Oryza sativa Japonica Group: one gene and its partners. The protein of the gene in region 2 interacts with the protein of the main gene of each other region in a pairwise test. Links are inferred from orthologs where the notes say so. Each region holds a gene or a part of one and is shown on either strand. Other genes may lie near its edges. The genes, in order: probable N6-adenosine-methyltransferase MT-A70-like, FKBP12-interacting protein of 37 kDa and peptidyl-prolyl cis-trans isomerase FKBP12.

Region 1 (5,703 bases), on a different chromosome or scaffold from region 2:
TCGCTAAAATTTAGCGTTAACAGGTTTCACAAGGTGCAAACATATAGTGAAATCAAACTTCACGAATAACAACACAAATATGAAAAATATATGAACTATGAATCCGGCATTGGCCATGGACGATTAAGCTCGAGATTAAGATCACTTTCCTATAGATACTAGGAATAAAAACTTTTCCTGAGATCACATTGAGTAGTAATTCAACCTGATAAACAAATTGCACTCAGCTTCGTGGGAGAGGCAGGAACTCCACATTGAGTAGTAGTTCAACCTGGCAAATAAATTGCACTCAGCTTCGTGGGAAGGATATGCATCCGATACCGAGATCTAACGATTAGTTGAAGAATCGGCGTGTCTGCCAAGATTGAAGTGCGTGATGTATATGAACCGACCCATATCAAGATCTAACGATTGGTCGGTTAGGGATGGAGTTACCGTCACCACTATGTTTTATTTTTTAAAGTGTATATAGTATTAGTATAAATATGATTCTCAACGAAAAGATTAGCATTTTTTTGTCCATTAATTTGCAGGACACCAAATATGAACAGTTACAAACTATTAATTGAGATCAGAGTTGCTAGCTAGATACTACGAATAAAAACTTCTCCAGGCGCACACCATGTTGAGTAGTAATTCAGCCTGAAATTTTACTCAGCGTAAATAATCCAATCTGGCGGATAGCTTCGGCGCGAATCTCTGAAGCATCGGCTTACCCGCGACAGCTGCGCCGGACAGGACTCCGCCGAGGATGCCGGCGACGATCATCGACCTTGGGCCGGACGCGATGCGGTAGAGCGCCCCGGCGCTGGCCCCCGCGGCGACGGTGTTGACCCAGTCGTCGGCGCCGTCGCGCTGGTCGCGGACGAAGCTCTCGGTCCCGGCGAAGAGCATCGCGACGATGCCGAACCGGTTGCCGAAGGCGCGGCCGACGGAGCCGCTCTGGTTGAGGGCGCGGTTGATGCGCAGCTTGGCGGACTCCCCGCGCTCGGCCTCGGCGGCGGCGCGGCGGAGGCCCACGAGCGCGCCGGACGTGGCGCCGGCGAGGTAGCTGACGCCGGTGTAGAACGTGAGGTTCTCGCCCCAGGTGCGGGTCTGCCGGAACTTGTCCTCCTCGAAGAGGCACTCCGGCGAGGTGGGCAGGTCGTAGAGCGCGCGGTACGAGGTGGGGAAGGCGAGGCCCTCGGGGCGATCCGGCGAGTAGAAGCGGCGCCCTTCCGTGGGCTCCTGCTGGGCGTCAACGGCGCGGGACATGGCTGGCTGATCTAGGGTTGCCGTGGGCTGCTGCTGCCGCTGCGTGCCTTCTGGGTTTCTGGACGATCGGTTTTGGTTGCCGCCGCCGTGTGCCGGGGGTTTAAGAGAGGGGAGTGGTCTCCGATCTGCAGTCTGCGCCTTCGCCGTGTCGCCGAAGAAAAGGGGGAGGGCGGAGCCGTGCGAGATGCGGACTCGAAACCCAGTAGGAAAAGGAACCACAACGCGACGCCACGGTTCCGACTTCCGATTGAGAAAAGAGGGTGTGGGCCGGTGAGGTGGGCCGTGGGTGTCGGCCTTCAAGTAAGTGGTCTGCCAGCGCGGCCTCCCTCCGCCTCCTCTCGGCCTCCACACAACTGTGCACGCAAGGGGCTAGGCGGAATAAGTCCAGTAGGACTCCCTCAAAATATAAGTCCAGTTTATTTGAATTCCTTAATCGCAAAGATATTTGAAACTGGCTCCGTCGTGGAATAAGAGAACATAGTATTTGCAAACGAAAAACAGTTTGTGAATAAAATTTTTATACACGTGTTTTTAGCGATCTAAAAGTAAAGACTGAAAAATAAACTTCGATGAAAAAAAACCCAAAAATCAACTCCAAATTGAGAGTTGAAAATTTAAATTTTGGCTGATAAGCATAAGCAAAAGAAAAAGATGAGGCTGTGGTGTAATTTGACTTCATAGATTATTGTAAGAGTGGTTTTCGCTGAGGTGGCAGGTTAACTTGTCTGCTTTCGGCCAGCTATTGGGCCCGCCACCGCGTCCCCTTTCTCAAATGGGCTCGACTTTATAACAGGCCGGGCCGTGCAAGCGCCACGTAGCTGCACAAACAAGGCCGTATCGCGTCGTGTCAAGCTCGATCTAGAGTTGCAAGACCCCCAAACCCCCGTGACCTCTCCGCCGCAGCCGCAACAGCAATGGAGGCGCAGGCGGACGCCGGCGGCGACGACCTCGCCGCCATGCGGGAGCAGTGCCGGAGCCTGGAGGAGGCCATCGGCTTCCGCCGGGAGACGCAGATGGGCCTCGTCGCATCGCTCCAGCGCCTCGTCCCCGACCTCGTCCCCTCCCTCGACCGCTCGCTCCGCATCATCGCCGCCTTCAACGACCGCCCCTTCGTCCCCACCCCGAACCCCGACGGCGGCCACGGTAAGAGCCCCGCCGCCCTCAAGCCCCACCACCGCCGCGCCCTCCCTGACCCGGCGCGCTCCACCCGCCGCAAGACCTCGCCCGGATCCTCCCCTGCCTCCGTCGCCGCTGCCCCCGGCGGCCTCGACGCCGTGCGCACCATGGTCGCCGTGTGCCTCCTGGAGCTCGTCCCCTTCGCCGAGATCGACGCCGCCGCGCTCGCCCGCCGCCTGCAGGCGGAGAGCTCATCCGCCAGCGAGGCCGAGCGGACTGCTCTCGCTGACCTAGCCGCCGAACTCGGCGGCTCGGCGGCCTCCGCTGTAGTCCTCGCCCTCCGCCGCATAGCCGAGGACACCGGCGGTGTGCAGATCGAGGAGGCCATGATTGGGGGCAAGTCGATGACGATGGTCTGGGCCATCGACCGGAACAAGCTCCTCAAGGAGCTGCCAGAATCCGCTACTTTGCCGCTACTCCAACCTCCTCCAGCCCCCCAGATGCCCCCCTCTGAGACCGATGCCGGCAGCGCAATGATACCAAGAACACCGCAGCAGCAGCAGCCGCAGCCGGATATGTGGCCGCATTCGATGCCTCCGATATTCCCACGGCCAAGGGGCATGACGATGCAGGGGATGCAGAGGGTGCCCGGCGTGCCACCAGGGTTGATGCCGCTGCAGCGGCCATTCATGGGACCAGCTGGAGTTATCACAATGGGTGGGGGTGTGGGGCCTAGCCCTAACCAGCAGAAGCAGAAGAGCGAGGAGGACGAACTTAAGGATCTTGAGTTGCTGCTGAACAAAAAGACATATAGAGAGAAGCAGAACACCAAGACCGGGGAGGAACTTTTAGATCTCATTCACCGGCCCACGGCGAAGGAGACGGCTGTGGCAGCGAAGGTCTGTTTTCCCTTCACCTATGCTAGTGGTTTTGTTGTTTGCACTGTGTAGTTAGTGATGCTTTGGGTTGCTGATTTGTTATTGATGTAGTCTCACACTGTTAGTCCTGTAGTAGTAAATGAGCTGGCAGTGGCGGACCTAGGATTTGAACCCAGGGTAGGCCTAGCAAAAAAAAAAATCTGAATGCAATACAATATGATTCGATATAAAATGTGGTAAACGATACGGTATATAACTCTAAATGGTTCAATACAAGTAGAAAATAACAAATAAGTTTGAATCTTACCTAAATGGTCCAAAGTTGGCATGGACCTTTTAGAATGTACCCTCTTCTAGCCGCATCTTGATCGTTGGCATCAAAACTTGAAATAGAAGCCCTTAAGCCTGGATCATGTTCAATATCATCAACATCATAAAGCAGCGGCGGTTCTTCTTCAGTTTCAATTGACCCCTGTTGAGTTATGTGTCTTAGTGAATATGTATATGTTTAGGGACTAAATGTAAAGACCATTGCATACAAGGAGATGGGGGACACCAGGTCCAAATCATCCAAAATTTACAGCATGGTATCAGAGCAGGACGATCCTGCTTGATTTTCTTGCAATCCCTAGCAACACGAGTTAATGTGGAATGCTGGTTTGCAGACTGCAGTGAATCATGGTCCAGAGGTAGTCCTGAAGAGATGAGGTTGATCCATGTTTTTTTTTGGTGATTAGTTGCATCTGGTTTGCTGCCTGCTGTCTGTAAGAGTACGGTATGTTTTTTGCCAAGGAAATCCATCCAAGCCTTGCCTTGTGATTTCGCTCCTGGACTTGCATTTTCTTCGTTGCTGTCTCAGCCTCTCAGGTGGCGTTGCTGCTGTTTTCTTTGCCGTGTGTGCTGTCGAGAGTTGCAGCAGACCTGTGTAGTTGTGTGACCTTGTATAAGTTCAGTCTTGATAAATCTATATAGAAGTTTGTGTTTTGATTGGGTTCCAACCTGCTCACTAAGAAATGAGTGAGCCAACTACAGCAGGGGCGGCTGGGCGCTGGCGGCGTCGGGCAGGACGCCGGGACCGCGGGAGCCGGGAGCTCGGGAGGCCGCTGGGCAACGGCCGGACGTGAGACGGAGAGGGCGCGGCCAGCCGGCCAGGGGCAGAGTCGCGGAGATGGCGCGGCCGCGGGGGCGCCGGCGCGGCGCGCGAAGGCAGCGGCGTTGCCGCCACGGATGGGCGTGCGCCTGGCGTGAGCCGGGAGGCCGCCGACCGACGGACGCGGCGGGAGGAGCGGCGGCGTGAGTAGCGGCCTCACCGGACGGTGGGAGCGCCGGAGTTGCGCCGGCCTCGCGGCTCGAGGGAGCGCTGTCGCCGTTGGTCGGTCGGGAGGGGAGAGTGCACAGGAGAGAACAGAGAAGAGACTTAGGGTTTTTTTTGTTTGTTGGGCCAGGCTTTTTTCATGGGCCAAGAAAAAATAAATACCTGATCTTCTCTAGGCCAAATTCTAGGGTAGTCCTGGGCCTACCTGGACTACCCTCTGGGCCCGCCCCTGTGAGCTGGTCTACTTATGCATTGCTGTTGTTAAAACTATCATAGGACGCATAACAGCTAGTTGTCGGAGGCACACTGCTATAATGAACGGTTTATCATAAATTGCTTAGATTCTGCACTGAATTAGTGCGACTGTCAAAGTAAAACTGTTAAATGTTGTTTGACCCATCTGCATTGCCTATATATTGTCAACCTCTCGACACTTATAACTTCCACTCTTCCAGTTCTTACACATTTAATTGTAATAATATGGTTGACATGAAAATCATTCATCTTGTTTTGTTAATATGGTTTTATGTTCATGCAGTTTAAAACAAAAGGTGGTTCCCAGCTGAAGGAATATTGTACCAACTTAACTAAAGAAGATTGCCGACGCCAAAGTGGATCTTTTGTTGCCTGTGATAAGGTCTGTGGTGATAGTGTCCTGCACCCCTTTTCACAATGTGTACTTCCGCACGTTACATTTTGTCTACTTTTAACAACAGTAGAGCAAAACCTGTTGTGTTTGATTCAATCACTTAAAATGATGTGCCTATCCACAATCATGGCCTCTTTGACGATGAAATTATCCTGTTAACATATTAGGCCTTATTTCTGGTTACTTGAATTTATTCCAATCAAAATCTTCACATTTTTTTCCTTGAATACTTGAATAGCTTTTGTTATCTGGTCTTTTAGCTGTTCATGGTAACAACTAATCTGGAAGTAACTGTTTATATTTCATTCTGAGCAGGTCCATTTCCGCCGTATTATTGCTCCTCATACTGATACAAACCTAGGAGATTGTTCTTTTCTCGACACTTGCCGTCACACAAAGGTGACTATGGCATATACACCCTTGTATTTTCCTCTATTATGATGTGTGTTTTTGTATCTTACATATATCCTATAATCTGTAGACCTGCAAGT
Region 2 (5,069 bases):
AAAGTTACATGTTACAGTATTTTATATCCTAGTTATAACGTAATTATGTTATAATTATATTTTAATTATATTCATCTTTTAATGAAAAGGTCAAAAGTTATATAGTTACATTGCACACTAACCTACCAGATTGGTCTTTCTCTCTAAAACTTTAGTCCCTAGGGGAGTGACTTATTTTTTGGAGAAGTCCCTCTCTCCCAAACACTCCCTAAGTTCCTCCATTCAAGTTTAAGTTTCAGTGTTTGCATTTATGGCTATTTCAATCTATGATACTCACGAGTGCTTGTAAGGATAAGATATACACCCACAAAACGTGGTCTGGCATATATGTTTGGTATAGTGAAGTAAACATGACGTTTTCACTCAGCACAGGGCTCAATAAAACTTGGCACAATTATATATTTTTAGGGACTTGCATTGAGCTGAAATGCTCAGATTTCCTTTCAAACGACAAAATCTGATCTCAACAGAAACCATTATGTTCTCCAAATCCATCTCTTTTCCGTGCTAGCTCATCCTACTTCAGATCTCCATCATCATGCAAATCCTTCCTTCACCGAACACATCTTCCCCTGATCTACCCCGACTAGGGTTTAGGATTCGACAACCCCTTCTGTTTCAGGCACCGGCGGAATTCGGAATTTCGCGAAATCCGGTAGAAAACCGGTAAATTTCGAACAAATTTCATAAACCAAAATTTGAATACAAATTCCATGAGTTTGCCGACAAGTTCTCGAAAACTGGTCGGTTTTGGTGAAATTCCGATCGAAATCATCGAAATTTCGATCAGTAAGTGTTTCCCTTTTTTTAATTACGGTCGGTTTTGGCCCATGTAAGTGTTTTTCTTTTTTTAATTCTTTATTTTTTTTCTTTCCTAATGTAAGTTTCAGTAAATACACACAATACATCATTTGTTTTCGAAAATTTATATCCCAATAGATTCTATGAATACCATAATATTTATAAGATTTTATTTTATTTTATTTTATTTTCTTTTTTATCAATTCAAATTTAAATTTGGATAAAACTTCTCGAAATCTCATACGGTTTCTACTTTCAAGCCCTGTCGAAACATCAAAATTTCATGAAATCCGGTCGGATACGCAGCACATATTTCTTACTTTCTTAAATTTACATGAATAGCCGGCTACCGAGATACAAAGTTTACAAAAGTACTGCTTAGATCATGGGTCATCCATTTCATATGTATTCTGGATGTTTAAAACGGAAACTGTGCTGTAACGGTGCAAAAAGCATAGGATACCGAGTACAAGAGGAAGCTCACTGACGCACGAACTAAGAGAGTTTAGATTCAAGGTAAGTAGGTAACACGTCTCATGCTGCAGTGCTCAGACAAAGCGCAATGCAAATCGGCAAGAATAAACGACATTAGATAAATTACACAAGTAAACACTTCTGATACATGATACAAAAAATAATAAGAATGTTGAGAACGCAAGCTACTCTAGAAATGACTGCTGAAGGCGTAGCTTATGTTTCTACTTTTATTGGCTGACTCTCGGCGGCAGCAACTATATCATCTCCAGCGACGTCATTTTCTTGAGGTATTTTGTTCTCATCAGTTGCTTCTTTCTGGGCAAGCATCTCCTTCAATCTTCTCAGCTCTACATCTTTTGTTTCTAACTCATCTTGAAGAATGGCCACCTGTGAACGGGTTGTAAGTGAAATGTTATTTTACTCCCTCCGGGTTGATAATACTTGTTGTTTTGGAAAAGGGCACGGTCTCAAAAAAAAACAACTTTGATCATTATTTTTCATTATAATATGTATAAAAGTGTCAACAAATATATGATCTTATTAAAGTACTTTTTAAGACTAATCTATACATGTAGTCACCATATTTGAAAAACAAATATTTTAAAAATGATTTATAATCAAAGACTCTAAAGTTTGACCTCACCTTTGTCTAAAACGACAAGTATTATCAGCCCGGAGGGAGTAATAAACAGAAGAGACTTACAGTGGTAGAAATGATGAAACTTACCATTTCATTTGATCTTTCAACGTCATTTGTTAGACCATCCATGTGTTTATACAGCTCTGAAGACAACAGAAGGATGGTCAAATAACTCAATATTAGCAAAACTAGTGTTCAGTAAGAGCAGAAGGCATTGACTTCATAATAGGTTGGTAAATTAGAATATCTAATGGATCCATATTGACATATGTTAGACTTGCCATATAGGTTTACAAGTTCTAACCAAAAGAACAAAGATGACTAATCCTTAAAGTATATGCCTGATTATCCCTGGCACTAATTCCTAATTGATTCTAGGATGTGCAGCCAGTTCCGCTGAATTTATGTGATGCTTTCAATGAATTAAAAAGTAATGTTGTTTGCAGGTAGACTAAAACATAATATATTGAGAATAATTCAGACAATGAAATACAATTTCAAACAATTTCTTGGGGGAAACAAGCTGGCTACTGGTTTCTTGGTAGTATTCAGGATTTCCGTTCAATCAAGAACTCAGTTCACATCAATATAGTCCCTCAAGAGGAAACTTAGAGAAGTGAAGTTTCACCATTTTTTTAGTATGTTTTTAGAAGCCGCCTAATGAAGTAGATAGGTGCAAAATGTGTGCCTTACCTAAATTTAGTAACTTGAACATATCTGAATTTGTTTGGTCTGAAACCCCCAGCAAACCTCACAAAAAGTTTTGGTTATACTTCAAAAGCTTGGCTGTCATTTGGTTTGAAGCCAACGAATTTGGTGATGGCAACATTTTTAAAATCTAAGAAAATCTAACACCATGTTTGAGCAATCCATGGGAGGCCAAATGCTCACCCCAGCTCCCAAACTTCAATTATCCACAAATAGGTACAGCCATGAGACAATGTACCTTACGGGCGTTGGATCTGGCTGTGCCCAGATCTTGCCATTACCAAAAGATTGGTTTTGGTTGGCTGGAGACATTACAAACCTCTCCACAGTTAACAAAATTTGGTAAAGTTCACATGTACAACTTCAGCAAGGACCATGATACCGTAGCCCATTGATGCTACAGTAGGACCATTATAAACTAGTACAAGGCTAACACAAGCAATAAAAGATAAAAACAAGAATCTTTTGAGAATGTCAACAGACAGCATCACATGTCATTTCAAAAGCTGCATGTGGAACATGTAGAAAGTAATAATACTTATGGTCTTAATTGGTCGATCTAGGGTACTTGTAAGAGATTCAACCTCTGATATGATAGCACATTTATGGTTTGCTGCAGAGACTGCTATGAACATACTTTAATTCTAAATCTATAAGCCATGAAATATTAGACAGACTGAACACAATACAACCACGAAACAATCCCAGCATTCAGAGCCAATGCACTACGAGTACACTGGAAATTTCGTATAATGTGAGTACAGGAGACATGTCGCATCGCATCCTCATTTGGAATGATAACAACCTTGAAAATCCCATTCAGAAATCAAAACAGCTTCAGGAAGCCATGATTGGATATCACAATTGCTAGTTTGTTTTGGTCAAATGGAATCCTCATATACTCCTAGATTAACAAGGCCAAAAATACAAACGGTACTAATTGTAATATTAGGAATTAGGATAACATACACATGCACACAGCTACAAAACATAGACCTGGTAAGTTCTAACTTCAAATGAAATCAGGTGTAAATATTTATCAATGTGTCCAAACATCAAAGCACGAAAGACTGCCAAAGGCAAACAAAAACTCAGGGTATGTGAGATTTTCTTCTTCTTATCAATGTTAGTTTCATTAGCTTACTAGTTGGACTGCATATTCTAAACATGTGCATAAGCATATGCAACCTGAAATTCTTTTAGTTTAGCTTACTAGTTGGCTGCTTCTGCTATCAGCTGAGTACTAGAATTTTTAAGGCAAAATTGGTTTTAGAGCACCGAAAGTTCACATTCTTGTTTCTATAGCACCGAAAGTTACCGGTTCACTTTAATAGCACTGAAAATTGCCTCCGTTCCCCATTTTAGCACTTCCGTTAGTTTTCTACCGTTTGCCGTCAAAATTTTCCCCCCTCTCGAATCGGTTGCGCCATGGCAGCATCGTCCTGCCATACTGCCGGTAGTGGAAGAAGAGATGGCACAGCACGTGTAATCCTTCCACTGCTGGCCCCATCGCCTTGGATCGCTGCTCACCCTTGCTGGACCGATTGCTTGTCGTGAGTCATGACGACCAGTTCATCAGCTCTTCGGTGATGTGTCTCCAGCAGACTCACGTCCATCGCCGGTACCATTGATCCCCATCAATCCTCAATCCTGCATTCCTGCTAACAGGAACCCTCACCGGCATAATGCAACCATGGCCGGCGGAGTAGACGCAACGGCTTGCACGCACTAATTGATGTGCAGAACCGCGGAGTACTGTTGGGAGTGATGCAGCGAGGGGCTCCACGACTCATCTTGCGGCGTTGTGATTCCTTTTGAATGCAGATACTGCCAGTGAATCAAGAAGCCATTTTTCCCCTTCTTTCTTGCAGTACACATGTACAACCAGATTAGATTATACTCCATCAGTTAGTTTCCTACAGAAAGAGTATTAAGTTATCATTCGCTCGGTTGTTGCCTCCACGGTTGGCACCGGCAGATGGGCACCAGTACGACCAGCACCAGCCAGCAAAGCAGCGGGCAGAGGCTAAGGTCACCGCCGGCGAGACCTAGGGTCCGGACTGGTTGATCTCCATGATCTGGAGATTGGCTGAGCCATACAAGTCGACGTTGATGGCAAACAGAGAAAATTGACGGAGTGCCAAAAATGAGAACGGAAGAAACATTAGGATGCTATTAAAGTGAACAAGTAACTTTTGGTGCTATAAAACCAAATTTATGAACTTTCATTGCTCTAAAACCAATTTTGCCAATTTTTAATGATGGGATTCTGTAGACTAAAGAATGCAAAATAACTTCACATCCATTCTGTTTGATACTCACTGTAAGGGAAGAAACTTCTCCCCTTCTTTCCATGCTACTAATATTAAGCGTAAAATTCTTGTCTAATGAAAGATGATCAAGCCATCAGCTCTAAACATCTGTTTTCCCATATAGGCATTCA
Region 3 (5,642 bases), on a different chromosome or scaffold from region 2:
CCCATGTCACCCTGCTTGCCAGTGACGGCCTATTTATTTAGTTCTCCATTGTTGATGCTCCTCCTTTCTGCTATGATTAAATAAACATGCAACATTGCAGGTGCTGGATGATACATTTGCATCCCAGATGCAGCAGCTGCTGGGTAATTCGATCCAACAGAAGGAGCTGGAACCACCTAGATCCATCATGGAAGTTCGGTCGATCCTCTGCAAAGATGCACCCCGACAGAAGAACTCTAGCTTCTATTACTGAGCATTTTTGGTGTACATACCAGTCACTGGAAGAATAAGGACGTGTTGACATGCTGCGGAAGATGCAAAGTGAAGATGTGGGAATCTATGTAAAGGAAAAATGTGAAAAATATAAAGATATAAGTACAACAAAAAAACAAGGCTACAGAAGGGTCCCATTGAAGACTTGAAGTGCATGACCGGAGAAGATGGCCTACCAGATAAGTCCATCAAATGATACTTTGCTGGTTAAACCTGGTTCAAGTATGCTTCTGCTGCCTGTGGGATGGTCTGCATTGAAAAATTGGACTGCACTGTAGGTAGTGTAGTTTAAGTGATGCTTTAGGTTAGATCATCGATAGCATCTATCTGTGCTCACACAATTGCCAATGTTAGTGTTTCGAGGTCGATGACTCGTTGATAGAAATTATTTTCTTCTAATGTATGGACGGGACAATTGATTGTTCGTGACGGCTTGTATAGTATAGTAATGGTGGTCGAGCTAGTGAAAGGCAAAGCTACATGCCACTATGCTAGAGATTCTGGCGAAGTTCATGGAGTATGTTTTCGGGCTGATTCCAAAATGTTTTGATAGGTGCTCAGCGTCATATATTTCTCCTGCCTTAATGGTTGAGCTAATTATTACTCTCTTATATTATAAGCTTTGATTTTATTCCTAAACAAATTTAAAAAGTTTATAACCAAAATTATAGAAAGGCATAATTACATTTTCAACACAATGTACTATCAGAATATATTCAATATTACATTTAGTGAAACTAATTTGGTTTGATTTTATTCCTAAACAAATTTAAAAAGTTTATAACCAAAATTATAGAAAGGCATAATTACATTTTCAACACAAAATGTACTATCACAATATATTCAACATTACATTTAGTGAAACTAATTTGGTGTTATAGATGTATATTTTTTTTTGTAAATTTGATCAAATCTAAAAAAGTTTTGAGTTTGGCTAGGAAACAAAGTGAGCACATACCAAGAAAAATAAACAGAGCAACTAAAAATATTGATTTCTGTAACTTTTCGCCGTTTGAAAGCCAAGGCTTTGATGCAAAACCACCTAGTTTAATTTAAAGTTAGTTTAAATATTCAAAATTTGGCTGCATCAGTACGAAATAAACTATTTTGGATAAGTTTGGAATGAACTGCCAATTAGAGGCGTCACCGGTTGAGCATCACCAGTTCACCACCACACGGCCTTCTGCTTACCTGAACATATCATGCCAGTATGCCACATTGCCACTGCCGTCTCAGTCAAAGTAATGCAACAAGGTAACGGCATGAAACTTGTTATAACAAAGAGACGACGAATTCAGCAAAAGTAATACGAAAATGTACGGCCCGAAACTTATTATCGTGTCCATAGACGATGGTGTAACGTTACTTGGTCAATAACATAGAACATTCCAGCGGTAGCACGCAGCAGTGTTGTGACGTTACAATTATTTCAGTACTCATGGAATTTTAGATCCATCCGGAATTACATGATGCGTTTACTGGGCGCTAAGAACCTCAATCTCGAACACCAGCACTGAGTTTGGTCGAATTCCCCAGGCCGGAAACCCACTAGCTCCATACGCATAATCCGGGGTGCACTGCAACAAGAACAATCAGAATGCCAGGTGCCAGAAAGCAAAGCAAATATAACAATAGTATGATATACAGACGGATTCTCAGGAAATAGGTACAGCTTGACATTTTGCAAAGGTAAAAAAGCCCTTTAGTTCAAGCTCATTTGAACACTTCGGCATTTAAGCACTTCAAAGCAACAGGAAATTTTACAGTAGATGCCGAATAAATCAGCAAAGGATTTATCGCGCTAAAACAAACTTGCAGACACATAGACGCTAAAACAAACCAGAAACAAACTTGCAGACATTAATTTAGACACGTGTGAAACCCAAGCGCTGCATACCTGAATACGAGCAACTTCACCCACTTGCATGGTCATAACTCCCTCGTCCCATCCTATAAGCAAGAGAGTAGTGTTATACCTCAATCGAAAGAGTCAACTTGATTTGTCAATGCTTGGGATGTGATATGACTTTGATTGGTTCTTGGAAATGTATGGTGAACTTCTAAAATAATAGTACAAGTTTATACAGCAACAGAAATACAGTATTGCAGTTCGAATATGCCTTACACCAGTTTATATAGCAACCAGAATAAATCAAGGATACATGAGAGTGTGTCATCATAACGAGAAGACACAACTGGCAAGTTATGATCAAACTAAATGCAACATAAACAGTGAAGGCAAACAGTGCACCTTTCTAGCTATATCATAAATCTGATTAGATAATCTCAACTGTACAATTGAAAAAAAATCACAAACAGCAGTGATCTCATGTTCTTATTCATCATTAGTCAATGCGAGGAACTACTTTCGTGAAATAAAATGAAATTGGCAATCGGGATAACTAGATGATTAATCCCTTGATGAGATAACAACTTTTTTTTTGTTTCCACCATGTAACCACAGAATCTAGGAACATATGCACCGATTACCAACTGGCAGAATCATTGTGTATGAATTGAATAGTTATTTGAGATGAGATTACCTTTGATCACCGAACCCTGGCCTATATTGAAACTGAATGGCTCCTGGCCTGCGTCCTTTGTGCTGAGAGAAACAAAGGACACAACATCAGATGAAATTTCTATCTTGTCTGAATATTTTTGGGGGAAAATAACTTTATCCAAAATTACCTCCAAGAATTTTGATTTGTGAGGTCTAACGATAAATTTTCTACCCATAAACAACAAATACACAGCATTGGCTGAACCAACGCCACGCGACGCGCCATCCAAGTTACAACAGAACAAGAAAAGAAAAAGGATAGTTTTTGTACCTCCAAAACTTCTTAGCGAGATCATTATCTTTCCCTGCAGAAAAGAAAGCAGCATGGCAAGGAAACCAAGTTAGGCTTAACTACTCCAAAACAGAAACTCAGAAATCTATCCACAAACCGGACAGAGGTAAACTAGCAGCTGCGATTTGAATCTAAACCATCTATCCAAAAGACAATCCTGGCATCAAACATGAGATCCAACAAGAAATGGATCTGGGAACGAACCACCTTGTTCTTACCGCTCAGGTTGATTCAGCTAAGCACACGCACGGATCCAAGAAAAGAAAAAGCATGAAAGGAAATGTTCTGGGGGAGATAGGGAGGGAGGAAAGCGGCGAACCGAAGCCGGTGCAGTGGACGGTGACCTTCTGGCCCTTGACGGGCTTGGGACCGGTGCCGGCTTTCAGGATCGTCTTCTCGAAGCCCATCCTCTCTTCTTCTTCTTCTTCCTCTCCGCTTGCCTCTCCTCCCTTCTTCTCGATTGGACTCTCCTCGGCGGCGGCGCTCTGTGCTAGTATGATCAGTGGTGGATTGGTGGTGCCGTGCGGCTCGCCCTTATAGAGCGCTAGTAGATTCCTTTTTTATTACACCACCAATCCACTACTTTTTTTTATTACACGACTTTCTGGTGGTGTAATTGTTCCGGCGTCTCCTGGGCCGTTGGATGGAGAGACGATCTTTTCAGTCCTACGGTCCAGCTTCAATGGTTTTCTTCTTTTTTTTCGCAATAAAATTGCATCCGACCTCTACGTATATAGGTTGCGCACAACCATAAAAACATGGGAAACCGCTCAAAAAATAAAAACATGGGAAAGAAACTGGAATAACATAAACATAACGGTAAACATAACGGAAAATACTATGCGTACGATATTTTGTTACATTCCTATAACGATCTCGAAAAATATATTTTGTGTCGTCCTATGAAAAACCTATTAAAAGAACCATACAATATTAGTCGTGAGGCTACAAATGCCGTATTAAGCTGCTGACCGGCCATTGACTAAGGGGGTGATGGGTTGGTTGTCTCACTTTACCATACCACACTTTAGTCATATCACGATTATTTAGTCATGTGATTGTTTCACTTCACAATTATGCACACTTTCTTACTCTTAAGACCTACCCGCACTTTCAAATTTGTAACTAAACATATCACACATGCGGGCGAGAAATTTGTAATATTGGGACTGCAAACACGAGAGCTTCGCTGTTTTGACACTCCGAGTGGATGACAAATGGGTCCATCTGTGTCTATAAAATGTGAGCCTAGTGTTATTATAGCAAAGGTTAATGTTTGCAATGTCATAATTGTAAATCCCCCCTGCGGGCTATAACCAACTATTTCTTAGACATATTACTTGTCTAACCTTAGTTATGTCAAAGTTAGGTATCAACCAAACAACCCATAATCTTCCTAATAACAACATATGATGCCTCTCATGTAATCTCTCTTGCTTGATCGTCATAACAAAAGAAGAAATGATAATTGCTTATGAGAAAACAAAATGTGTGTTATAGAATACTCTCTCCATCCCATAATATAACAATTTAGTACTATATAATATAGTGATGTATCCGATTCGTAGTACTATGATGTATCCTATCCAGTAATAGATGGCAATATTAATAAATGATGTGCTTAACCTAAGAAAGAAGTAACAAGGCTTGAATATGGGATTTTTAACCTCGCTAAAAAAATCTTGTTCAAAACACACTAGCACGTCCAACACCAATATATCGTTATGGTGGTAGAACAAGTATCAACACCAATATATTGGTTTGGATCGCTAGTTTTTCTTTGAATTTTTTCTCTAAAATTAACTGCACCATGGTACAATACAAATATACAATGATCAATGCATGATTAATAACTTCTATTGTGTAAACGCAGACGCTCATAATACAAACACATTAAAAAAACTTTTATTGTAGATGTACGCTTATAATGCAAACACATTAAAAACACTTTTATTGTACTCTTTTCATACTATGAATCTAAACTAGGATATATCTTATACAATCAAAATTTCTTATATTATTAGACGAGGGAGTATATGCTAATCTAACGATTTATAATATTGCTGATTTTCCCGAGCTGTTACAACTCCACCAGACCAGATACTGTCGCAAACCATCCATCCCCAGTCCCCCACTGTGCCCCCGACCGGACCGCTCGCTTCCCACCGGACCGTTCCGAAGCCACCCAACCTAGCGCGGTACCGCCCCCATAAACACGGGGACACACCCGGCGCGCCGCCGCTCATCGCCATCCACCCGCACCCTCCCAATTCTTCCCACGAAAACCTCCCAAATTCCGTAGCCGATCTCTCCCCCCCACCGGCGGCCGCCGCCGATGGAGACCTAACGCCGGATCGATCTCTCCCACCGGCCCGAGGCGGGTGAGGCAGGGCGCGTCGCCTCCATGGAGACCGAGCGGATCCGTCACCTCCTCCTCCTCACGCTCCGCGCGCCGCACGCCCGCCTCGCCCTCGTGGGTGGCAACCACACCGCCGCCCGCTTCTGCACCCGCTA

The links.
Region 1: the proteins of FKBP12-interacting protein of 37 kDa (region 2) and probable N6-adenosine-methyltransferase MT-A70-like interact in binary tests that used the Arabidopsis thaliana proteins (3 or more experiments, as listed by UniProt). The link is inferred for Oryza sativa Japonica Group from reciprocal best matches to the Arabidopsis thaliana genes FIP37 and MTA.
Region 3: the proteins of FKBP12-interacting protein of 37 kDa (region 2) and peptidyl-prolyl cis-trans isomerase FKBP12 interact in binary tests that used the Arabidopsis thaliana proteins (3 or more experiments, as listed by UniProt). The link is inferred for Oryza sativa Japonica Group from reciprocal best matches to the Arabidopsis thaliana genes FIP37 and FKBP12.

The regions. Positions count from the first base shown.
Region 1 is NC_089036.1:27,844,896-27,850,598, forward strand, and holds the start of probable N6-adenosine-methyltransferase MT-A70-like, read left to right. Parts: upstream 1-2,114; 5' UTR 2,115-2,168; coding exon 2,169-3,269; intron 3,270-5,101; coding exon 5,102-5,200; intron 5,201-5,527; coding exon 5,528-5,611; intron 5,612-5,693; coding exon 5,694-5,703. Other genes in the region: mitochondrial import inner membrane translocase subunit TIM23-1, read right to left, coding at 655-1,254. UniProt on the Arabidopsis thaliana protein: Catalytic subunit of the N6-methyltransferase complex, a multiprotein complex that mediates N6-methyladenosine (m6A) methylation at the 5'-[AG]GAC-3' consensus sites of some mRNAs.
Region 2 is NC_089040.1:16,709,478-16,714,546, forward strand, and holds the end of FKBP12-interacting protein of 37 kDa, read right to left. Parts: intron 2,062-5,069; coding exon 2,006-2,061; intron 1,666-2,005; coding exon 1,492-1,665; 3' UTR 1,286-1,491; downstream 1-1,285. UniProt on the Arabidopsis thaliana protein: Probable regulatory subunit of the N6-methyltransferase complex, a multiprotein complex that mediates N6-methyladenosine (m6A) methylation at the 5'-[AG]GAC-3' consensus sites of some mRNAs.
Region 3 is NC_089036.1:32,511,534-32,517,175, forward strand, and holds peptidyl-prolyl cis-trans isomerase FKBP12, read right to left. Parts: upstream 3,636-5,642; 5' UTR 3,536-3,635; coding exon 3,448-3,535; intron 3,142-3,447; coding exon 3,108-3,141; intron 2,879-3,107; coding exon 2,817-2,878; intron 2,224-2,816; coding exon 2,171-2,223; intron 1,851-2,170; coding exon 1,749-1,850; 3' UTR 1,578-1,748; downstream 1-1,577. Other genes in the region: uncharacterized protein, read left to right, coding at 101-253. UniProt on the Arabidopsis thaliana protein: PPIases accelerate the folding of proteins. It catalyzes the cis-trans isomerization of proline imidic peptide bonds in oligopeptides. Mediates rapamycin inactivation of TOR protein kinase activity.